3 linked regions of the Arabidopsis thaliana genome follow. The protein of the gene in region 3 interacts with the protein of the main gene of each other region in a pairwise test. Each region holds a gene or a part of one and is shown on either strand. Other genes may lie near its edges. The genes, in order: TRP1, AT1G26660 and PFD6.

Region 1 (9,103 bases), on a different chromosome or scaffold from region 3:
TGAAACCACCACAACCACCACCGGAGGAGAGTTCACCAGCCGAGGGTCCCAAGCCAGACGAGGAAGCCTCACCACCTTTACAAGAAAACGCTACGGTTGGTGGAGAAGAACCACCGGCGTCGGAATCAGATAAGAATGAAGCAGAGGCGAAACCCGTGGAGGAGCCACCGCAGAATCAACCAGATGGTGAAGATATTGTGCTTGAGTCAGAAGATACAATGAGTTGGGCTTCGGCGCCGCGATCACCGTTACCGGAAGTTATCATTTCAAGATCTGTATCCGGTTCCATACCCGAAACCAAAAACGGACCACAACCACTACGGAGAAGCGTATCGGAAACTGCAAGCTACACATCAGAGATCTCCGACGTATCAACGATCGAACGATCCACGTTTGATTTGGTGGAGAAGATGCATTACGTCTTCATCCGCGTCGTGAAAGCTCGGTCTTTACCAACCTCCGGGAGTCCAGTCACAAAGATCTCACTCTCCGGCACAATGATTCAATCAAAACCGGCTAGAAAAACCTCTTGCTTCGAGTGGGATCAAACGTTCGCCTTCCTCCGTGACTCACCGGATTTATCTTCCTCTCCAATTCTGGAGATATCCGTGTGGGATTCATCGACGGGAATCGAAACCAGCCAATTCCTTGGTGGAATTTGCTTCGACGTGTCAGAGATTCCGCTCCGAGACCCGCCGGATAGTCCATTAGCGCCGCAATGGTACCGTCTCGAAGGTGGTGGAGCTCACAACAGTGATCTAATGCTTGCCACGTGGACAGGAACTCAAGCAGACGAATCATTCCCCGACGCGTGGAAAACTGATACAGCCGGAAACGTGACCGCACGAGCGAAGGTTTACATGTCGTCGAAGCTGTGGTATCTACGCGCTACCGTGATAGAAGCACAAGACTTGTTACCGCCTCAGTTAACGGCGTTTAAGGAAGCGTCATTTCAGTTAAAAGCTCAGTTAGGTTCCCAAGTTCAGAAAACCAAATCCGCCGTTACTCGTAACGGAGCTCCGTCATGGAACGAAGATCTACTCTTCGTAGCCGCCGAACCTTTCTCCGATCAGCTTGTTTTCACGTTGGAGTATCGAACATCGAAAGGACCAGTCACCGTCGGAATGGCTCGCGTGCCACTCAGCGCAATCGAGAGACGCGTCGACGATCGCTTGGTTGCTTCGAGATGGTTAGGATTGGAAGATCCAAACGACGAGAAGAGAGGAAACAGATCTAGAGTTCACATTAGGCTTTGCTTCGACGGAGGTTATCACGTGATGGACGAGGCGGCGCACGTGTGCAGTGATTACCGACCTACGGCGAGGCAGTTATGGAAACCAGCGGTGGGAATCGTCGAGCTCGGTATAATCGGTTGCAAAAATCTATTACCGATGAAGACGGTTAACGGAAAAGGATCAACGGACGCGTACACGGTGGCGAAATACGGTTCTAAATGGGTCCGTACCCGAACCGTGTCGGATTCTTTAGATCCGAAATGGAACGAACAGTACACGTGGAAAGTATACGATCCGTGTACGGTTTTGACTATAGGAGTCTTCGATAGCTGGGGAGTATACGAAGTCGACGGTGGAAAAGAAGCCACGCGTCAAGATCTAAGAATTGGAAAAGTACGTATACGTATATCGACGCTGGAGACTGGTAAAGCGTATAGAAATACGTATCCGTTACTGATGTTAGTTAACGGCGGCGTTAAAAAATTGGGAGAGATAGAATTGGCCGTTAGATTCGTGAGAACAGCTCCACCGTTGGATTTCTTACACGTGTATACTCAACCGTTATTGCCTTTGATGCATCACATTAAACCGTTGAGTTTGTTTCAAGAAGATATGTTGAGGAACACTGCAGTGAAGATCTTGGCCGCACATTTGTCACGATCTGAGCCGCCTTTAAGGCCGGAGATAGTACGGTATATGCTCGACGCCGATACTCATACTTTCAGTATGCGTAAAGTCAGAGCAAATTGGCTTCGGATAGTGAATGTAGTCGCCGGAATGGTCGACGTGGTGCGGTGGGTTGATGACACCCGTTTCTGGAAGAATCCGACATCAACTTTACTAGTTCACGCACTTGTCGTGATGCTGATTTGGTTCCCGGATCTTATCGTACCGACATTAGCGTTTTACTTGTTCGTGATTGGTGCGTGGAATTATAGGTTCAGGTCACGTGCTGCTCTACCACATTTCGATCCAAGACTCTCGTTAGCTGATGCAGCTGATAGAGACGAGCTCGACGAGGAGTTTGACGTCGTACCGAGCAACCGACCACCGGAGATGGTTCGGTTGAGGTACGATAAGCTACGAAACGTCGGAGCTAGAGTTCAAACGATTCTTGGTGAAGTGGCTGCGCAAGGGGAGAAGATGCAAGCTTTGGTGACGTGGCGTGACCCACGAGCGACTGGTATATTCGTGGGGCTGTGTTTCTTTGTGGCGTTGGTGTTGTATCTTGTGCCGACGAAGATGGTGGCTATGGCGTCAGGGTTTTATTACTTCCGGCATCCTATTTTCCGTGATCGGAAACCTTCTCCGGTGTTAAATTTCTTCCGGCGACTACCATCATTATCTGATCGGCTCATGTAATATTGTTTTTTTTTTTGGAGGGGATGTATATATAGTTTGGGTCGTTTAACCTTGTTGGGCCTTATTGGGTTATAATGGGCCACTAAATGGATTTTTATATGATTTCCTATTATAGGTGCTGTGTTTGACCATGTCTAAAACAAAGAAGTGTTTGGTATGACAAAATTGATGAACCTACTTTTTGAGCAGAGTGGTAAATGTGCGGAAATAAGCACACAAGGAAATCGTTGTTGGTGACTAACAAAAGGAGTTATCCACTGCCCAAGCATTACCAACTACCACCAACCAAACTCAATTTGGAAATTTCAAAGGTCCATTAGTCAAAGCAGCATTAAGTCATTCAGTAATCAACAAATATATTCATATGAAACCCAAAATAAAATAAAATAAACACTTTTCAAGAAAAAAATAAAATACTGAGTACTAAACTGGAAACCCTTTATAAGCAAAAAGACCAAAAGTTAAAAGTTAATTAAGATTTGGTTTAAGGCGCTTTGCTTTATTAGAGAGGAAGGAACGAACCATCATAGAAATCTCTCCTTCGTTCAAGTTTTTCTCTACTGTGTTGGTTGAGCAATCGAGTGATGGTTATTGCGGTGGCGACGACGAGCTCCATTGTTTCCGGAATCAAGCTTTCAGGGATCTTAACTTCGTTCAACGCCGTAGATGATGCGTCCAGTAGTTGCGGAAGAAGCAACTTGACCGGAGTTAGAATTTTTCCGACATTGAGTCGGCGACGATTCTCATCGATCGGAGCTGTTTCCCCAATTCGTGGGGATGCTCAATCTTCCTTTAGTCGCAGGTAAAGCCTCGATTTTTGGGTTTAGGTGTCTGCTTATTAGAGTAAAAACACATCCTTTGAAATTGTTTGTGGTCATTTGATTGTGCTCTTGATCCATTGAATTGCTGCAGCTCTTTCGCTTGCTCTCAGAATCTCGGTTTGAGCGGTGGATTTAGTGCAGCTGAAGCTCTGCCACCTGCTTGTGCAAATGCTAGCCCTTCTTCCATTAAATCTTTCAACCAGGTGACTCTTCATTTCTATTTTCAGGATAAGTTTGTGGTTTGATGATCCCTTGTTTCTAAGTCTCTTGATTTGTGAACAATTCAGGGTTTTTATATATCTGTATCTGTATTTCTGAGTTGGGTTGAGTTATTGGCTTCATGCTGACTAAACATGTTTGGCCCTGTGTGTTCTTCGAATTTCATTTTAATTGCTTGATGGGTTTTATTGACTTGAGTAAAAGTGTACTACTTTATAGGTTTTAAAAGAGTTTTACTTTTGGTGATTTTCCAATGGCTTTGAAGAGAGAGATTTAAATCATGGGGTTACTATGTTCTCATACTGCGTTTGCTCTGTTCTGTTGTTTTTCTTTCAGTTGATTGAAACCTTGATTGATCGGGTTGATCTATCTGAAACTGAGGCTGAATCATCTCTTGAGTTTTTGCTGAATGAGGCAAACGAGGCGCTGATCAGTGCCTTTCTAGTTCTTCTGAGAGCTAAAGGAGAGACATACGAAGAGGTAAGTATCCATTAAGTCAATCTAGGCTTATAATAAAAAAGTATACATAATCCTATATTACTGCACTTCAATAAGTTAACTCAACGTTCACTTTAATTCGGATATTGGGTAGATTGTGGGGTTAGCTAGGGCAATGATGAAGCATGCCAGGAAAGTGGAAGGATTAGTTGATGCTGTGGACATAGTTGGAACAGGTGGTGATGGAGCAAACACAGTCAATATATCAACTGGATCTTCAATACTTGCTGCAGCTTGTGGTGCAAAAGTAGCAAAGGTATAACGAATGAGAAAATCCTTAAAAGAAACGATATATTTAAATTTTGACTATCTGCATTAATGCTAAATGATCTTCGTCTGGTCGTCTAACTAATGGATACTTATTTTGCAGCAAGGGAATCGTTCAAGTTCTTCTGCTTGTGGAAGTGCTGATGTACTAGAGGCACTAGGAGTGGTTCTGGACTTGGGACCAGAGGGCATTAAAAGATGTGTTGAAGAAGGGGGGATCGGTTTTATGATGTCACCAATGTATCATCCAGCTATGAAGATCGTTGGTCCTGTTCGGAAAAAGCTTAAAATTAAAACTGTTTTTAACATATTGGGACCTATGCTTAATCCTGCTAGAGTTTCTTATGCTGTCGTTGGTGTATACCACAAAGATCTGGTACATTTACTTATTGCTGAAATTAGTTTGTTCATCAACAAAAACAAGACATTTACTTACCATTTGCTTGTGTGGTTTCATAGGTTGTTAAGATGGCAAAGGCACTGCAACGATTTGGAATGAAAAGAGCACTGGTGGTTCATTCATGTGGTCTAGACGAAATGAGTCCGTTAGGTAAGATTATCTCTTCCCAAAATTGATTACTTTTATTATTGAACAATTATTAACCAATCATGGCTTAACGAAAAACAGGAGGAGGACTAGTTTATGATGTAACTCCGGAAAAGATCGAAGAATTCTCATTCGACCCATGTAATGTTTCCTCTAGCTTTTTATCCCTTCTCTAAAATGAATATTGCAGATGCAGCTTAATGAAATTGAAGCTTATTTCTTTTTGACAGTGGACTTTGGTATTCCTCGTTGTACTCTTGAGGATTTGCGAGGTGGAGGTCCAGACTACAATGCGGATGTGCTAAGACGTGTGCTTTCAGGGGAAAGTGGAGCAATTGCGGATTCATTGGTATGTTTTGATTTGCCGATTCAACATTCTCTGAACTTCTGCAATTTGTTCATCCTTTTTTTTCAAAATCTTGTTTCAGATCCTAAACGCAGCTGCAGCTCTTCTGGTTAGCAACCGAGTTCAAACGCTAGCTGAAGGAGTAACCGTGGCACGTGAAGTACAATCGTCTGGGAAAGCTATCAAGACGCTTGATTCTTGGATAAACATCTCAAACTTAGCTCAGAAATCTCAGTGACCAGAAGAGGCTTATGATATTGTTGTATTCAACGGATCACCTTTGCAAGCAATTGTAGATGAAGATGGAGGCAATGTGCCAAAGGAAGAAGCTGGAGTTATTTGTAACTTAAGTTTTCTTTGTCAAACAATAAAGAGAAGAGACCGGAGCGAGCTCTATACACATTCATCATGTAAACACTACAACAATAATCTTTAATAAAATGAATAAATCTGTTTTACTCAAACGGAGTTCAGATTCATCATTGGGATACAAATCAAACCTAAGTAGTAAGTAGAAAAACAAAATTATAAAATTAGTCCTAACATTGAATCACAGACCATAATCTTGTTCCGAAGTTCTTCACTAATTCTGCAACTACACCTAAAATATCATCATCGTCATGGTGTCTATTCTTTGGAGACTTTCACACGCATCTCTGTCGGTTTGATGAGCTTGAACGTACAAACATCTCCGACCAGTAAACCTAACTCCTTGGCCAAACGACTCCATCCACCAGAGAATCTTGATTGTACATCAGTGACCACATATGTAACATCCCATGACTTCTTTCCTCTCGGATAATGAATCTTGAACATCGTTGTCTCAGTTGGCATATGCATATCCACAAATTTCTTTGGGATCCCCTGAATCACAGATTTTCATTAGATTAATACACACTTTTATACATAGCCATTTCGACAGTGTGTCACTGGTCTTGTCTTGCTTAATCTTACCAAGAACAGAAGGTGTGATTTCTTTATGGTGAGCTTGAATTCTGGAATAAGAGATGAAGTACCGGCTTCAGAGTCGTTACTAACAGTTTCCACCTTCTTCTTCTTACTCGTCTTGGATTTTTCGGTTTTATCGGCTTCCTTCTTTCTCAAGTTAAGCTCCTGTTTCTGCGTCAATCTCCCACTTGTAGATTCAGCTGTTTTGTGACAAGGATGGCTCGATTCAGACCAAGACTCTATCTCTTCTTCCTTCTTCACATCTTTGTAGATGCTCTTCCTCTCTTCTCTCTTGTTCCGACCTGTTTGCATCAAAATCAACCACAGAAGTAACTAATGACTGTATTCTTCTTCTTCTTCTTCTTAAGCATAAAGAAAGCAATAACATAGATGATGAACACTTACCGGAACTAGAAGTAATGGTTTTTCTTGGTCTAAGCATCTCCGTACCATCTGCCTCGAATATGGTTACATTAAAGCACATATTTGCCTCATGAGTGAAAGTAAGATACTCGTTTTCACCCAAACCGTTGTCATTCACAAACTGGTTCCATCCACGATCTTCCATGTAGTGAAAATTTGGGTTCTTGGAGATTTTAACTTGCCATGACCTTCCCCATGGTACTCTTAAGACCATCTTAAACGATGAAGACTTGTCGGAGATGCTTCTTATCAAGTGATGAGGAATCATTCTCTTCAGAGAGGCAACAAAATCAAGAAATATGGAACATCAGGAAATGGTAAAATGAAGTCACATTCCTCAATTTCAGTGATAAGTACAGTAAATAAAAGTTTACTGATCGATGTACAGTCAAAATCCATTTGGTCCGATCCGATCATTTCACACATCAAAACTTAGTTAAGACCAAGAACAGACAGATCTAAGTTCAGGACACTACAAGAGACACACTGAAGAACCAATAGATTCGATCTTTAATTTAAGAAAAAAGGCTAATAAGAAAATAAGTGATAAGGCTTACCATCATTTCAGTCGAATGATCTTCCCTTCGAAGAATCTTGAAGAATGCTGGATTATCTCTTTCTTCCATAATCTGACCAAAAAAAGCTTTGTTTTTCACCATCTCTGCTTCTCTCCTTCGATATGATCTTTCTTCAAAACCTCTCAGTCTTAACTCTTTAATCCTCTTCACTCTATCTCCTCAGTCACTCACTCGCATCTTCTCTTTTCAACTTTTCTATCTCACTCACTCGCTACTTCTCTTTCTCTCTCTCTGGTTGTGGGCAAAGAATGGGTAAAAAGAGAGGTCTCTTAAAACTTTAATTTCTAAAAACAGCCAAAGTGTTTTATTTTTCTGCATTAACTTTGAAATTAATTTTACTTGTGGTTAGTTGGAAAAGATTCCCATGAATCATTAAACTTTTGTGATTCGTAATTTGATATCGTAATGATACACAGAAACAGCAATATGCTCGTGACTTCCCAGACACGTAAAAAGCAGAGCAAATTCCTATTTTTAGTAACTGAATTCTAAAAAGACAGCGTCATATTTCCATATTTTTTTTTTTGGTTGCATAAACTATTAATTAACTTATACTGTACTAAAATACATTCACGGCAAATTTTGGTTAATCACCCATTTGAAAACCTCATTCCTAATATTTACTAGCTAGTCTGTAGAATGTAGACTTGTGTCCAGCACATACCCCTATTAACTTTATACAAGCTACATGTTTGAAAACTTAGCTAAAAAAATAAAAATACTACAGACTATACATGTTTTTTTTTGGGATCAAACTATAGAATATACATTAGTACTCTAAAATACCAAAAGAAACATGCATATATGTATATTCAGCGTAACAGATACGTATCAATAAATCATTGAAGAAAGGGATCGGATCCAGTCCACATCAACCCTAACTAGTGCGTGTCTCTATAGTTTTCCTTTTTGGGCAATGTATACTTGTCTTTATTATTTGGAAGGAGAAAGCAATGTTATTTATAGAATAAAATACAAACAGAAGTTTGGAATTCAAAAGTAAATTTCTTTTCCTTTTTGCTTGACAATATCTTGAAAACTATAATCAAATGTCACTGGAGACATCAACTAAATGTAACCCCCACACTATACGTAAGAGCCAGCCACTGATAAATTGTGTAAGTTAAAAGTGGTCATTTGTTATTTGTTTCCGTCTAATTCAGAGTAGCAAACAAATACTAAAACCGGATCTGAAATTCTCGGTTAGAGTAACAAGAATCCCGAACCGGGGGTAGTGCATCAAAAGGCAAAAATTGGAAATAAGCAGGTAAAACAAAAAGATATCCGGAATAAAGTTCGGGGGATTGAACCCGACGTGAATCGAACACGCAACCTTCTGATCTGGAGTCAGACGCGCTACCATTGCGCCACGGATCCGGATGTTAGATGTTCCACTTAATTGTTTTTAATCAACATGAAACTATAATTAGAGTAGTTTTTTGATTGATGAATTTGGTGTCGTCTTTCTTTTTCAATGAGCGATCAAAAATGTATTGACATGAAGTTTGTATATAACATTAATTTTGTATTTCACTTTCTACACTTTTAGAACAACTCTTTCAAGAAGAAAGAGAAAAAAGCTCATGTATTTACAATGAATAAGTCTATTTCTAACTGAAGGAAAAAATGTTGGATCATCTTCATTGGAGCCGAGAAGTCACATTGATGAAAGTATCTTCGGGACAAGGGATCGTTAAGCCACCCATCGGATGAGCAAACCCAAACTCTTCTTCGGATTTACTGAGCAGAGCTTGAAATGACGGTTGGCTCAAGTATGAGAGCGGCACCAAATATCTCTTCTTCTGGCTCTCTCCTACGTACACCGCAAGAAACCCTTTTGGTGCCGCAGATCCTGCTGC
Region 2 (7,882 bases), 1.3 Mb from region 3:
TTCCATCTTCCCACAATTGTGATGTAAGTTACTACACAAACTATGTAGATTCATTTTCACAGTATTTGATATGATTGTGTGATCTGACTCAAATATTGTTCCTTTCTCTTTTTTTCTCAGGTTCCACATGTGAACCGTGTTGATTACCAGTTGATTGATATCACTGAGGATGGCTTCGTATGTTTTTCTTTATACTCACTTTCCTCATCACTCCAGCTTTATTTATCTATTCTTGCCATAACTTTTGTACTTGTTTACATTATAGGTGAGCCTTCTCACTGACAGTGGTGGCACCAAGGATGATCTCAAGCTTCCCACCGATGATGGTCTCACCGCCCAGGTTATTTTCTTGTCTTTTCATACTCGCACACAAATGACTTGACTTTGTATTCATCTCTCGAATTGTGATATTGAAAACAGTTGTTGTGTTTTGTTAATGCAGATGAGGCTTGGATTCGATGAGGGAAAGGATATTGTGGTGTCTGTCATGTCTTCCATGGGAGAGGAGCAGATCTGTGCCGTCAAGGAAGTTGGTGGTGGCAAGTAAACAAGTATCATTCGATATATTATTACCAGTTTGACAACGGACGTCAATGTTATAAGAACCAAAAGATGTTTTTCTTTTTCCTAATTTAGACCCTTTGTGTGTGTTTCTTGTTGCAAGACAACCATATCTATTGGTTTTGGATTGTTGGAAAAGTTTGTGTTGAAACATTCAAAGTTTCTTATGAGATGTTATTCTTAAAACCACTTTTTGTTTGTTCACTGGATATGTTTGTTCATGAAGCTTGTTTTAAGCAACTCTTTACATGATATTCATTGCTATTTGCACGATTCAAGAGTGACATATACATTTTATTTAACAATAACAGTGTAAGATATGTGATTGAATACTTGTGGAAACATAGAGTTACACAGGCTGCGATAGTATTCGACATTTTAACTGGTTTTGACATTACACGATTTTGTATTCCTTGCACAAAGTCTGGTAAAACAGTAATAGCAAGAAAAGGTCAATGCTTTCCTTTGTTGAGGAACTGGAATTAGTGTATTTGTCAGGAGATTATTCTACTTTGAGAATCTGATGATAGTACCAAGCCAATCTTCAGGAACACTATCTCTCAAATCACCGTTTAGTGCTCTCTGTGAATGAGTTGTCGCAGCCTGTTTGAGGAGATTGAAAAAAAGAGCATGATGGCGGTTAAAAGCTCCATCTTTATCTAAGATATTTAGTTGGTTAAAGGCAAAAGTTGTCTATAATCTACCTTCACAATGTAGACATCGACTCCAAGTTTTGCAATCATAGCAGCTTCTGATATCTTCGTTTCCATTCCACCGGTTGTATCGTGCGCCGCAACAGAGTAGTCAACTGTTTGATTCCAAAAATCAGAGAGGTTTGAACTTTTAACAAATCCCTCAGACTTATTGTATTGCATAGTTTTACAACATTGGTTCTTTCGTTTACCTTTCTTGTCTGTGTGCTCCAACAGTGGATTCACAACCTTCCAGCTTCCATCTTCTCCAACAGCTGCATGAACTGTTAGTATCAGGCCAAGTCTGGAAAAGATATAAAAAAAACAAACAGTAAAGTTTGAAACTAACCGATCTCTTTCAAGAGCACAGCGTCGGGCTCTGAAGGTGAAGGTGGTCGATCGTAGACACCTAGTACATCTGTCTTTGTAAAGAGTTACTCAGATAACAAAGAATATATAGGAAAGAGGGAGAGAGAACACAAATTAAATTTCCGGTTTATACTATGAATAGGATACGAGAAAGACAACATATTCTGGCTTCAAATGATCTGCAAGATGACGGATGATAACATCACCACTCAATATGGTGCAGCCCTGTTCAGGACAAGATTTTCAACTGTTCAAATTCTAAACGGACAAGAATCTAGATAGCTATTTGGTATCTCTGGAGAGCATATTACCAGTATATTGTCCAGCACTGCATCTCCATGGAGAACCTGGCCATGACAAAAATTACTGTCCAAATTACAGTCAAGAGACTTTGGTAAACATCTACCTAATTTCACTGGTGGGATCAAAACTTACAGGGACAAATCCTGAGTCTATGGTTTTAGCTACGGTTGCTAGATCTGCAGAAGCCACCTAATGCAAAAAGCAGTCTCATTGAAATCTAAACCCACATGCTTCAGATCAGGAAATATGTTAAGAAGTTCAGTTAGCTCTTACATCTCTTTTGGAGGTTGACCAACCACATGAAAATGGAGACATGCCTATCGTAGGAATGCCCTCTGCAAGAGATCATAATGTTTAGCTTCAAAATTCATCTTTTCCTCTTAGCCAGAGTAGGAAAAGAGAATAAGCTTAAGAGATACCTCGGGCTAGTGCTCGTACAATTTCAAGATTAAGATTTGTCACCTGCAAAAAGAAGTTGTAGACTATCAGAACAGCTCAAGACTATCTTACGTAAGAGCATCAGATTTAGCTAACAGTCTCACAGATATACGAGTAGCAACGAAACCAGCTTTGACAATAGGTTTCTCAAGTCCTCCTTTGTGAACCCCAGATCTACTGGCCTGAAAGTGCCCAAAGGAACCTAATGACAAAAATCAGAACAACACATAAGAAACCCAAAAACTAAATAACAGCTCAACTAACACAAGCAGGTCAATGATCTGTAAGAGCTAAATCAAAAATGTATTTTGATCCTTCATTATAAGATTTAAGCAGATAAGAATCAATCTCCAACTAACCAGCGCCATGAACCACAACAAATTTACTAAACTCAGAAGACTTTTGATCCCCTATGTCATCCACATCACAAGAAATCTCAGAGCTTCCAGGTCTCTTGCTCCAATCCATGCCAATAACCTTGCTTGGAGCTGAACCCTCCAACATAGCTTGACGTAACTGACACGCCACGACCTCCAGATTTTCATCGTGAATCTTCTCCAGCTCGTTTTTGCAAGTAATTGCCGCACCTCCTATCAAATCATTTAGACATTCTGCTGTTACAAAGTCTAGACAGGTAAAATTGATGGGAAATGAATAAAAGACAGATCTTTAAAGTCTTTCCTCATCTTCGGTATTCAATAGTCAAATCAGAATCAAACCCATAAGACAGAACAACTAAAATGCGATCTAAGAATCGATCCAGCAAGTATTTTAATAGGGATCAAAAGACAAACCAAGTTTCACAATGCAACGAATTGATCTGCTTCGACTCTCGGAAATATTCAGCTCCATTGTTGCGTCTCTCTCTAAAGCTCTCGTCTTTAGTGGTCAACGGTATGTCTCTCTCTCCCGCTCTAACTCAACTTCATCGTACTCGTATCCTTCTTCTTGCCATTTCCCATTCACCGGAAAGATTCTCTCTTTTTTTTTTTTTTTTTTTCCATAGAAATATTCTTCTTTTTATTCCTCTAAAGAAGCCCATTAAGCTATTATTGGGCCTAACCAAATTGATCAATTTTTTCAAACCGGGTTTATGGTTTAGTGTTTTAAGGTTTCAGTTAAATTAGCGGTTTAGCTTCAAGTTCGCGATGGAGTAGAAGAAGATTACCTCCGACAAAAGCACGTTCACTTGTGCCACCGACAAAATTGGAAATCTTACATTTTTTGTTTTCTCTAATCAAAATTATTGTTGGAACGTAGACAAGATCCGTTCCAAGATTCGTCTTTTTTTTTCAATTTGATTCCTGGGTTATCTGAAAGATCTTCTCTTTGCTTCGATTTCTATCTCCGCTGCTTGTGAAATCAACCTTTATGGTATGTAATCTCGAACTCAGCTAAAACACACTTCACTCTCGGAAACATGGAGACGGAAACGAATCAGGTTTTACGGAAACCGGAGCTAAAATCATACAGTCACAAACAATTTCACTCCTCAAATGCGTTAGAGATCTTAAGAGAAACAGTTCGAATTCTCCGGTACAATCTTGGTGCTTTAATGTTAACTACTGCTGTTTTGATCTGTCCTGTCTCTGCTTTGCTCTTACCAAACTTTTTAGTTGATCAATCATTAGTGAATAAACTCACAGTGAAGCTTCTTTTAGTGGCGAAATCAAGTGGTCTTCCTTTGCAGCCTTTTGTCAAACATTCTTGTCAGAAATTCGCTGAAACTGCTGTTTCGTCTGCAATGTGTTTCCCTGTGTTTATCACTGTGTCTCTGTTGTCTAAAGCAGCTGTGGTTTACTCAGTGGATTGTTCTTACTCGAGGGAAGTAGTTGATATAAGCAAGTTCTTGGTTATATTGCAGAAGATATGGAGGAGAGTTGTGTTCACTTACGTTTGGATTTGCATTCTGATTGTTGGTTGCTTCACTTTCTTTTGCGTTCTTCTTGTAGCAATCTGCAGTTCCTTCTCTGTTCTCGGCTTCTCTCCAGATTTCAATGTTTATGGAGCTATGCTAGTTGGTTTAGCCTTCTCTGTAGTTTTCGCTAACGCGATTATAATCTGCAACACTGCGATTGTGATCTCGGTTTTGGAAGATGTTTCAGGGTTAGGAGCATTGATGAGAGCTAGTGATTTGATCAAAGGGCAGATTCAGGTTGGTTTGTTGATGTTCCTTGGATCAACTTTAGGATTGGCGTTTGTGGAAGGATTGTTTGATCACAGAGTGAAGAAAGTTAGTTATGGAGATGGCTCTTCGAGGTTATGGGAAGGACCTCTTTTGGTGTTGATGTATTCCTTTGTGACACTTATAGATTCGATGATGAGTGCAGTGTTCTATTTTAGCTGCCGAGTTTATTATAGTATGGAAGCTTCTAGAGGTGAAACTCAGCCAATCATGGAAACGGTTACGGTTGTGGATGCTGAGTAATGGTGCGTTGTGCGGATCAAACTCGGTGAATGGACATGGAAACGTATTAGCTGAAGAAGAAGTTGTATATCATCAAATGGGGTTTTATTGAGCACTTTTTGTTTCACTTTGAAACTTGATGCATCTTTAAGGTTTTTGTTATATATGGTTTCTCTGTTTACATTGTTTGAAGATTATATAGCATCCCAAGTTCGTTCATAGTTCTGCTCTTGTTTCTTTTTAGCCAGTTTGATTGAGTCTTGAAAATCTTGGGCGTAAAATAGTAAAATTAAAAAGTAGGTGGGCCTTTATGCAAGGTAATTATATTACAAAGGACTTGAAATTAAAACCAAAAGTAAGAACAAACCGGTTCGCATGGTTTAAATAATCTGTGCTCGAGCGGTCAAATTGTAAAACCACCAAATAATTCTTCGTCTCCCTCACCGTCGCGGCGTCGCCACTCGCCGTCACAACCACCGTCGTTCAACATCACTGTCACCAAAAGAATCACCGTCGTTCGGTCGTGACGTGTCTGGACCTATTTCATCTCTTTGCTCGTGACTCGTGAGTCAAATACTCTTGGACCTTTGCTGTTATCTGTACCTCTAATTTTGTGATTTTCAGATTCCTTCTCGTTTATCGAGTTGGATTCTCTGTATTTGAATGTATTTTTGATAGGGTTTCGTTTGGAAACCAATTTGATTCTCATATTTAAAGTGTAGTTACGTGGTTTGTGTTCTCTCTTGGGGATGTTCACCACCTGTTCGATGAAATGCTTCTACGTATTAGTTTGATGCAATTTCTGTATAGTTTCGACGCTCTCCGAGCTTGTATTTAGATATTGATGGTTAGGTGACTCTAGATTCTGAAACGAACATTTCAAGGCTCTAGAAACTTATTCTGGACTAAGTTTATCAAATAAACAAGGGGATGGTTAGAGCCTTAAGCTTGATATGTTTATGTTCGCATTGCAGTAATGGAGGAGGGACGTCAAAAAGACTTGCAATTGTTGGAGGAGATTATCGACAAAGGTTTGAAACAGAAGCTTGTACATGCAACTGCTTCACGGTATTTATATTTACTTCCTTTTCAGATCAAAATTAAAATTGTGAGTATGATATTAAAGTGTATGTAGGATTAGTTTAGTTTGTTTTCTTTGCATGCTATTCACTTTTTGTTTGAGGTTTCGATTCATTGTGGTCTCTGCATTTGTTGGTTTTGCAGGGACAAGATCTTTGAAGAACAAAAAACACTGTATCCTTTTGTATAGGGAAGACTCTAGCTTCTCGTGATGTGCATCATCTTGTTAAGCTGATCCTAAGTGTTTTGTTAGTTTCTCCCATGTCTTAACCCTATCAAAGATGACGGGTTCATTTACCAGTCAGTTTTTGACTTAGTTTTGTGTTTCTAAATCGAGAGGAACTCTTCTTGGTGTAGTTATTGACAATACTTTGCTGTTCTAGTGAAATCTAATTCGGTTGAAATATTCTTGTTTCCTTGACGGTTACTCCCACTCCAGCTCTGACTTGCGGAAAAACCTAGAAACTCTGGAGAAGAATGGTGTAAATAGTCTCAAAACAAGGGTCAACCTTGGTTCAGAAGTTTACATGCAAGCTGAAGTGTACGTTACTTATAGCTTTGGTTCTTTCGTTTAATTTTAGTCAAGTCATTTAGCTATGAAAGGTCATGCATTGTCTGCATACAATGAAATACACTGTCTCCATACACAGCTTAATGCAATTAAGAAGTGTGCTTTTACTGTGTTCTGTATGTTAGAAGCTAGTTATGTATTATTGAGCAGAAAACGTTTAATAAATGGGGATTAAAATAGGAGATGCTTTCTACCAGGTTTGCTTCTGATTTCGTTTCACTTGACTTGGGTGTTTGTTTGAGTTCAGGCCAGATACTCGGCACATATTCATGGATGTAGGCCTCGGCTTTTATGTGGAGTTCACACGGCAAGAAGCTCTTGACTATATAGCACAAAGGGAGGAAAGAACTCAAAAGTAAGAGAAATCTTTGCTTTTCTAGTTTTCTTGCTCCATGTACAAGGAAAATATGGTTGTATCATTGTATATGATGAATGAGTTCTCCGGTGGAATGCAGTATAGTGACTGAATGTTGATGCAATATAAATGTGGTTTTTTTTGTTTTTAACAGACAACTAGAAGAGTATACTGGTGTTATTACGCAGATCAAAGGGCGCATCAAACTGGTAAGTTCAAGTTCTTATCTTGCTTTGTGATAGTAGTCAATCATTTGTCTTATGAGGTTGAATTGGACTAGAAAATCACTATTGCGTAGGAACCCTGCATCAGACGGATATATGAAAGTGTCATCGGATAAGTATTAATGTTAAATTACCATTGCAGGCTCATTACCAGATTCAGCAAATACTCAATCTTCCTGAAGAGAATCCGTCATCCCGGCAACGTGCGTTTTAGTACACTACCTAGTGGAAAGTTGAGGATTTTCTCTTGCAGTCTTATCTTCTCGATTTGTTCTGCTTACTGTTTTGAGTTTTTAAAGCAGAGAATTAACTTAGTTTGTTCAATACTAACTCTTTCTCCGGAATGGACCAAACTGTTGGTGTTAGATAAACATATCGATTAAGCAATCAAAACTTTATAGAATGACTATTGTTGTGGGGGTGAATAGTGAATCGCACTCTGTTAAATCTGCCATTTCTATTTTAAATATTAATAATCACATGTTAGAACTTAGAAGATCATTAACAGTTTAACACAGCTGATGAAGAATGAAATAAAAGTATGAACGAAACAGATACAAGATAATGATATTCCACGTCAGCAAAGTGTCCAAATATCTTCCGCTTCCCTGTCTTCGTCGGTCCCTTTTCGGTTTTCACGGTAAGGCTCGGAGGAAAACCTAATTCGTCCGGAGAATCTCCACCTCACTCTCGCCAAACGCATCTCTGTTGTAGGTAAGTCACGGATCTTCATTCTACGCTAATTGTTATTGTTATCGTTATTCTTGATCTGGGCGTTTTTGTGGAATTTGCATCTAAAATTAGAAATTTGGATACCAAAATCCACTCCAATTGAATAAGGTTTCTGAAGAATTTTCGTTTGATTTTGAGATCGAAAATTGC
Region 3 (7,811 bases):
ACGTTTATCGATTCGAGTTGAGCGCACGTGCGAGCAGCGCTGAACGTGACTGAATAGACAAAACCTTTCTCAACCGTTAGATCTTGGCTGATCTCTGCGTCGTTCCCTAATCGGACGGCGTGACGGCCTTGTGGGACAATGAGGATCATTCCGCCTTGTTTTTGACCGGAATTTATTAGCTCCACCGTACCGTTGGATTTCCAGCTTGGGATATCGGATGGTCCGTCAGTTACTCCGTCGTCAGGAAAGCCACTTGACGGTGATGTTTCGAAGTCGCCGTTGATCACTAAACCTGTCATAACAAAAAATAAAGGTTACAGACAATTTTAAAATAATAATGTACATTGGATTATTTGGTTAGACAAAATCATTGGAAACGCCAAATGATCACGTTTCAAGATTGTTTTGAAACTAGCTAGCGGTGTGAAAAGAGATTGTTTTTGTCTTTCTCAAATAAATAGTTTGATTCGACATAACACTTTAATTTACTAGATTGTAAAAACGTGAACGAAAAAAAATAATAAGGAGACACGAGGCTTGAAACGTCTAATATGGGGCCAGACATACGGCCCATACCTTCTAGCTATGACTTAGTAGGACCACAATTGTGAAGACTCGTTTTGACTATTTACTAATTTTTATGTTTACACTCTACAGTTCCCAATTTACAAGTTAAAAATGCCCCTTCTAATAGGGGAAAGCAAGAGACAATTGTTGTGTTTTCGGTGGAAAAACAAAAGAAAGCGTGTTGAAAAACTAGAGAAGTATTCAGACACTTGGATGTCGTTTTATCAAGTATTCTTTGTCGTTTTGTAATACTACGACCAAAAGACCACCTACTATTTGGCGCGAATCCTACTCAAGTGGTTTTTTTTTTTGGTAAATTTTTTAATCAAATAATTTCTTAGAAAGTAAAGTACCTAAACAACTTTCTTTATGAAATCAGATCTTTAAATTAATATCCACATAAAAAAAAAAAAAAAGAGTTCTCAGGGTTTTGTTGGTGTGTGTTTGTTATTTGTTAATTGAAGCTAAGGAAGATTTAAGAAGGGCTTCCTTTTTAATTTTGCCGCCGCTGAAAGCACGAATAAGATACTTTATACTTAATTGACAAATAGACCCATACAACTTTCATTTTCTTTTCTATTGTGACGGATTAAATTCAGTTGACAGTTTTTCCCCTGACTATGAGATAACCTTAACTAGATTAGCATTACTGGTTCGATTAACACTGTTTACTTACTTAAACTAGACATTAACATAACAGATTTCTAATCTTTAGTAAAGAAGAAAACTCAACTTAAAAATCTTAGCAACAGTGAAGTGAAATTGAGGAAAACCCCCAAAAATCTAAACACTCAAAATCCAGATAAAAACTAAATCAATCATCTGAAACTAAATTATTTTGGTCCTCTGTTCTTGAAACAGAGATGGGTTGGATTCAAGAAACCAAATCTTGATAACACAAGATTCTTATTTAAATGGCATTTTTGAGAAAAACCAATCACGCAGAGACCAGAAAAGAACAAAGAAATTTGATGAAGGTAAGTGAAAAGCGTACCATCCTCAACCGCCGGAGACTTGTCGTCAGCGACGGCGACTAAGACGGCAACGGAGACACTGAGCAGAAACAAGAAAATGGAACTCCATTTGCATCTATTGTTGCTCGGAACCATATCTCTCCTCTACTTCTTCTTCGTCTTCCTCAAGATATCTAAATGCTCTCTTTATCTCTCTTCTCTCTCTCTGTAAGTGTGAAATGTGAAAGTGTCTTTCTGTATGTTCTTTTCGGGCAGCGAGCAAAGACAGGGAAGGTTAGTGTCCTTTTATCCAAGATTCCTCACTCCTTGTCTTTTTTTTTCTTCTTTTTTTTTAACTCTCAACATTTAATTTCCACTATATTTAAAGCTCTTTACAGACAAAACTCCATGCACGCATAACAAAAAAAAAGTAAAAGAAATGTTTCTACTGTAACATAGTATTTAATTGTTCTAATTAGTAGAGCCACGATGGAATAAGTTTTAGTATTGACCTAGGTTCTCTCTTTTTTTTTCCCTCTCATTGGATCTGTGCTAGATGCGAGACTAAAGTGGCAACTTTACTTTTGATCCAACTCTATTTCTTTTAGGCTGTGGAGTGAATTATTAGTTTGACAACAACAAAAATGTCTTTGTAAAATCTTCGGCTTTTCACTATTATAGATTTGAAAAAATGTTGTTTAATACGTGAACTTTCAAAATTGGCCATTTAATACGTGAACTTTATATATGGCAAATTAATACATACAAAAATCGTTGACTGACAATTTTACATAAACTTAATCGTTGATCAAGCCAAAATCTACACGACGTTATCTGACATTAACAGACCGATAACAGTCGTTAACTAATCTTCGTTAGTTTCTAATACGACGTTGTTTCGAGTATCGCGAAAACGGAAAATGCCATTTAATACTCCAATTTTCAAATTGTGGTCATTTTATATATCAACTTCACATGTGGCCATTTTATATATGAACTAAACGTTGACCAATAGTTTAAAATATGAGAATGCGTTGATTAGACCAAAAAGACATACCGCTATCTAGACCTAGATATTCAGATTTTTGTTTGGATTCGGTTTGGATTTATTCAAATACCTAGGCCTAGATAGCGGTATGTCTCTTTGGCCTGGTTAACACATTCTCATTTTTTAAACTGTTGGTCAACGTTTAGTTCATGTATAAAATGGCCATATGTGAAGTTGATGTATAAAATGACCATAATTTGAAAGTTGGAGTATTAAATGGCATTTTTCCCGTTTTTGCGATAATCGAAATGACGTCGTATTGGAAACTAACAGAGATTAGTTAACGGCTGTTATCGGTCTGTTAATGTCAGATAACGTCGTGTAGATTTTGGCCTGATCAACGATTAAGTTTGTGTAAAATGGCCAGTCAACGATTTTTGTATGTATTAATTTACCATATATAAAGTTCACGTATTAAATGACCATTTTTTTAAAGTTCACGTATTAAACGACATTTTTCCCGTTATAGATTGAGGTATAAAGGGACGAAAAGTAAAAATTTGTGTTTATGAGAGTTATGTTCAGTGTTGATATGATCAGTGAACTAGAAGATATTACGTCACCAAGTGATAAATAGTGTTTTTCTTTTGTATGTAACTAAAACTAGGCTTGATAATAGAAGAAAAGCATATTGGGCCGTTAAAAAGTCCAAGTTAATACGGTTTTGGGCCTTACTAAAACACGGGGGCTTTAACGGAGTTTTGTTACTGCTCCTTGGTGGATCTGCGAGTTTTCAATAAACCACCGGAGTGAGGAAGAAGCAGACGACGACGACGAAGATGAGTTCATCGACTGTTCGTGATTTGCAGAGAGACCTAGAAAACAAGGCTAATGATCTCGGCAAAATCCAGAAAGGCAAGTTTCGTAGATTCTCGTAACTTTTCTCGATTTGATTCTTTTCTTGTTTCTGGAGGCGGGAAACCCTACTTTTCTGTGTTCATATTTTCAGATATCGGGAAGAATCATCAGCTGAGAAAGAAGTATACGATCCAACTCGGTGAGAATGAGCTCGTGCTTAAGGTATATGTTCATGTCTCACTGTTTAATCTGAGTTTTGTGGCTACTTCAACTGAAAAGAGAAGTTTATTTCGATTGTTGATTGGCTTTAATCTTTTTATGTGTCTGTCTTGTATCTACAGGAGTTAGATTTGCTGGAAGAAGATGCTAACGTCTACAAATTGATTGGTCCGGTGTTAGTGAAGCAGGATTTGGCTGAAGCTAATGCAAATGTTCGTAAACGAATTGAGTACATCTCTGCTGAATTGTGAGTTTCTTTTCTTTTAATGTGATTGAAGCAAATGCAGTTCGTTGAGAAACCTATTTTGGGATTGTTATTGTAAATAAAGAACCTTTCTTTCTTTCTAGGCTAATAGTGAGTGATTGCTGTTCATAAGTAGCTAAAATGTTTTCACTTCTAGCTATGTAACAACTATGAGAGATGTTGATAAAGTGTTTGAGCTATAGTGTTGTGACCTCAAGAATATTGTTGTATCCTTTGCAGGAAACGGCTTGATGCAATTCTTCAAGATATGGAAGAAAAACAAAACAACAAGAGAGAAACGGTAAGACATCTGCCTCTCATGCATTTATATACTTCTTTGAGTGCATTGAATTAGTGATACTAGGACTGCTACACCAATAATAGTCCAAACATTGATGCTCAGTATACTAAGCTCTAAAAAGATACTTTGGTAGCTATTGTTGTCAGTTTAAGCCTGCCCGGAAAGTAAATACTTGAACTTTGTTATCTCCTCTGTCTCGTTGAGTGGCCTACTGGCCTTGGCGCAATATGAGGATTTGCTGTTTCTGCACTTTCTTGGCTTTTAAATGGTGATAATGATCCTATGGTTTCAATTTATGGAATCAAAATATTTGCAGATAATGAAGTTACAACAAAGGCTACAAACTATCCAGGCAGGAAAAGCAAAGGCTTGATTGAGCTACTCAGTTGCAACCACACTTGTTAAACCCTTTCCACTGTGCTCGGCCTTGTCTCAATGGTGTCATATTCAGTTACTGAGGGTTCTTGTGGTTTCAGTTTATTGGGTGATTGATGTCTCTTTGTGTCACTAATCTTTTTTTGTTGACAACTAGACTTAAGTGTGTAACTTATACATGATCTTGTCGCCCTTTATGAAGTTATGAGTTTGGAGATTTACAAAAAAATATTGTGTGTGTGCGCCTAATTTGGTCTTCATACATACTTCAAGTCGATTATGTTCTATGCAACACCTTGCAGATTACAAAGAGCTAAGATGACCAAATGATCTCAAATTTAAAGGTTTATTAGTCATATCAGAATGATCTTATCTTGCAGTGTAAATGGTATGTATAAAAAACTAAAACCATAATTCATCTCCATGTCAATTGTGTCTGATTACATTTTGCCAAGTGAGAGCTTAACGAAAAGAGAGAATATTAGTCTCAAGAAACCTACTACTACAAGCAAAAACTTTTACGAGTTAAGTTATAATTTGGATGCAGAAGCTTATCTTACATTGAAAGTTATGACTTTTTTTCCTCAACGAACTAACTTCTTCTCCAATTGGCAGTGTACTATACATCACTTTCTCCATACCCTCTCTTAAGTTTGTGTATGTGTGTGTGTGTGTGTATTGTCTGGAGTAGTCTTCAAAACTAAGCCTTCAGGTGTTTCTTCTTATTGGTAATGGATGAGCTTCAGTGTTGAAAACAAACTTATCCAATGGTATCACTGAGTCATCTCCAAAGAGCAAGTATAAGTACTTCAATGTTTCACCAAGGAAAAATGTCTCCATCTTATCTCTTCTATGAGGAGGCACTTCTGTTACATCATCCAATGATGTGTATCCACCTGATTTCACCTTTGTGTACTTTTCAAAAGCTTCAAAAATTTGCCAACCTTGATCTCGGTATCTGCAATTTTAGAAATGTGTTAGCTTTAAGAGTAGAATAGTCCCCAAGAACTTAGATTAGTGAGGGAAAATCGGATGAATAGTTTTCATACTTTGTATCTTTTGTGATACGATAGAGGACAAAGAGTGATTCAACAGTTTCAGGGCGCAGTAGATTATGTCGATCAGCGGGCTTAATGATTATGTCATTTGCATACATAGAACTCTTATTCCCACCATCAAGACCATCCTCAGTGTAATCCTGCTTTATTAAAATCCAAGACTTAACAAAAAACAAGAAGAGCAAGGATGACAATAACGTTTTGGAAAAAAGTACACACAAAACTTACCTTTGTGTGAAAGTAAGCAATTTCTGGAGCAAGGCCAGTGGCAGTTACTTCATACATCTCAAAGCATGTTTTCGCTAAATCTTCTGCAAGTTTCAGATTTTCTAGGTCCTCAAAGGACAAAAGATTTTCCTTCAGGGCTTGTTCCTTTGTGAGGCCCTTGGTAGCACCGAGAGCAAGAGTACCAGGCAAGAAGCATACCTAGCAAGAAAAAGCAATTGAATGAATCACAAGTCAAGAACAACAAAACTCGTGAAATCTCTCAGCGAATGACAATAGCGTAATACTATGAAATGATTGCTATTTTCAGTACCAAGTAGCTAGTGACACTTACCAAATGATCCATTTTTGGACTGAATTCTCCCTTAGACCCGTAAGGTAACTCCCCTACAAAGACCAGACCTTTTGGAATTGAATTTTGCACAAGCAAATGCCTGACTCCTTTCATTGCCTCAATGTACATATCATGCAAATATGTGAAATTACTATTCAACTTAGCTCCTTGCTGAAGCCACACCTTAATTAAATACTCATAGTAGCTATCACCACGAGATCCCAACCTGATATTCTCACCAACAAAGTCACCTGTTTGAGGGCTGCACCAGGTAGAAACAACAAGTCAGATCAAAAGAGCCCGGGAAAGCAAGGGAAAGCAAATTACTAGCATGGTATTTATAGTTGAAAGAGCAAACACGAATTACCTGATATAGATTGGAACAAGACCTTCTGTCTTTGGAAGTGTTTTTATATGAGCTAAGACCTTCATGGCCTCTGTACTATACTTTGGATCACCAGAAATAGAACTGAGGTAGTTAAATTCAAGCTGTACAGAGGCAACTTCTGCTGTACTGCTCGCTCCTCCTGGAGCTGGATGAGCAGTCGATTCATGCAATATGACATCACAAAAGGGAACTGGAGTAGGGCTGGAGGTAAAAGCCGAAAGTAGACGGTCAGCCAAATCCTTAGCAATATTTAGATAGATGACTGGTTTCGGTCCAACATGGGTCATGTTCACCGTACCCTGCTCTCCTCCACTCAAATGGTATGCACTTAGAAGCCCACCTAAGACACGTATTGTAGTTTCAAACAAATTAACTTGACCTTTTTGACTGATTCTCTCCAAGAGATGAGTCTCAACCCATGATCCTGCTTCAGAGACGATATTATCAAGACCCATTATCATGGCTGTATCAAGAGCATCCACAACAGTGGCACCTAATCCTCCTAAACCATCCACACCTTTCTGGCTAATAGGCATTAGCTCGTCATAACCCATGGCGTACTTTCTATAGCCAGACCATGCATGGTCAAAAGCCTCTTTTACACTTTGCTGCCTAGCTGCCCATTTTGGGTCAGAATTTGAAATAGTTGAGCCATTAGTGGAACTTCCTCTTAATTGTCCTTCGTCAGGTGATAAACGAGGTGGAAGCCTAGGTGGCTTTCTCAAAAGTCCCCCTAGCCTAAGTCCCCCAACAAAAGTGACCTTTCCTTTCTCATTAAGACCAGATTCATTTGGACTCTTACTCATCAGCATTAGACATGCTACTCCAAAGAACAGTATTAATATAAGGAACTTCCCCGTGCTACAGCTAGCGTAGTTGCGTTTTGTACTAAGAGTAAGCAAGCTTTGAGAAAAAACCTATAACACAAGACATTGCAAAAGAATGATGTCAAAAAAGAAGAGCAAACTAAATCAACTTTCATACACGTACGACCAAAAGCTTCAAGTCATCCATTACTAGATTCATAGCACCTTCTACATGTCCAATTCTTACTCCTTCTAAGCAAACATTTCTATTGCTCAGATTATAACTTCATTTTAGGAGTCTCACAGTAAGAAGCCTAAAACTTTAATCTGAAGCTAGAGACTATATAAGATGGGAATTCTATATCTTAACCTGAAAGCATACAACTTCTATCTAAAAACTGAAGCTTTAGCGGCAGTTTATCAATCTAGCTTTCTATAACTCAGCATTACCTCACAAAAACGTAATTTCGTGAATCCAAGGTCAATTTGGACACA

What was found.
Region 1: the proteins of PFD6 (region 3) and TRP1 interact in a two-hybrid assay, tested with the Arabidopsis thaliana proteins (one large-scale study listed by BioGRID).
Region 2: the proteins of PFD6 (region 3) and AT1G26660 interact in a two-hybrid assay, tested with the Arabidopsis thaliana proteins (one large-scale study listed by BioGRID).

The regions. Positions count from the first base shown.
Region 1 is NC_003076.8:5,954,149-5,963,251, forward strand, and holds TRP1 (tryptophan biosynthesis 1), read left to right. Parts: upstream 1-2,931; 5' UTR 2,932-3,181; coding exon 3,182-3,399; intron 3,400-3,509; coding exon 3,510-3,621; intron 3,622-3,973; coding exon 3,974-4,117; intron 4,118-4,229; coding exon 4,230-4,391; intron 4,392-4,505; coding exon 4,506-4,778; intron 4,779-4,861; coding exon 4,862-4,952; intron 4,953-5,030; coding exon 5,031-5,090; intron 5,091-5,179; coding exon 5,180-5,298; intron 5,299-5,377; coding exon 5,378-5,533; 3' UTR 5,534-5,922; downstream 5,923-9,103. Other genes in the region: AT5G17980 (C2 calcium/lipid-binding plant phosphoribosyltransferase family protein), read left to right, coding at 1-2,597; VDD (VERDANDI), read right to left, coding at 5,923-6,159, 6,250-6,545, 6,649-6,937, 7,224-7,325; SAUR19 (SAUR-like auxin-responsive protein family), read right to left, coding at 8,885-9,103.
Region 2 is NC_003070.9:9,206,552-9,214,433, forward strand, and holds AT1G26660 (Prefoldin chaperone subunit family protein), read left to right. Parts: upstream 1-5,212; 5' UTR 5,213-5,334; intron 5,335-5,744; 5' UTR 5,745-5,746; coding exon 5,747-5,838; intron 5,839-5,953; coding exon 5,954-6,058; intron 6,059-6,289; coding exon 6,290-6,391; intron 6,392-6,668; coding exon 6,669-6,776; intron 6,777-6,930; coding exon 6,931-6,985; intron 6,986-7,142; coding exon 7,143-7,214; 3' UTR 7,215-7,324; downstream 7,325-7,882. Other genes in the region: FBR12 (Eukaryotic translation initiation factor 5A-1 (eIF-5A 1) protein), read left to right, coding at 1-23, 121-177, 266-340, 443-547; AT1G26640 (Amino acid kinase family protein), read right to left, coding at 1,069-1,164, 1,266-1,369, 1,466-1,528, 1,603-1,675, 1,770-1,847, 1,934-1,969, 2,058-2,114, 2,199-2,260 and 4 more; AT1G26650 (Son of sevenless protein), read left to right, coding at 3,784-4,791.
Region 3 is NC_003070.9:10,504,319-10,512,129, forward strand, and holds PFD6 (prefoldin 6), read left to right. Parts: upstream 1-3,214; 5' UTR 3,215-3,347; coding exon 3,348-3,423; intron 3,424-3,517; coding exon 3,518-3,588; intron 3,589-3,707; coding exon 3,708-3,832; intron 3,833-4,069; coding exon 4,070-4,130; intron 4,131-4,446; coding exon 4,447-4,503; 3' UTR 4,504-4,833; downstream 4,834-7,811. Other genes in the region: AT1G29980 (choice-of-anchor C domain protein, putative (Protein of unknown function, DUF642)), read right to left, coding at 1-292, 1,562-1,676; MNS3 (alpha-mannosidase 3), read right to left, coding at 5,214-5,463, 5,555-5,703, 5,792-5,989, 6,123-6,384, 6,490-7,427, 7,767-7,811. UniProt on the Arabidopsis thaliana protein: Binds specifically to cytosolic chaperonin (c-CPN) and transfers target proteins to it. Binds to nascent polypeptide chain and promotes folding in an environment in which there are many competing pathways for nonnative proteins.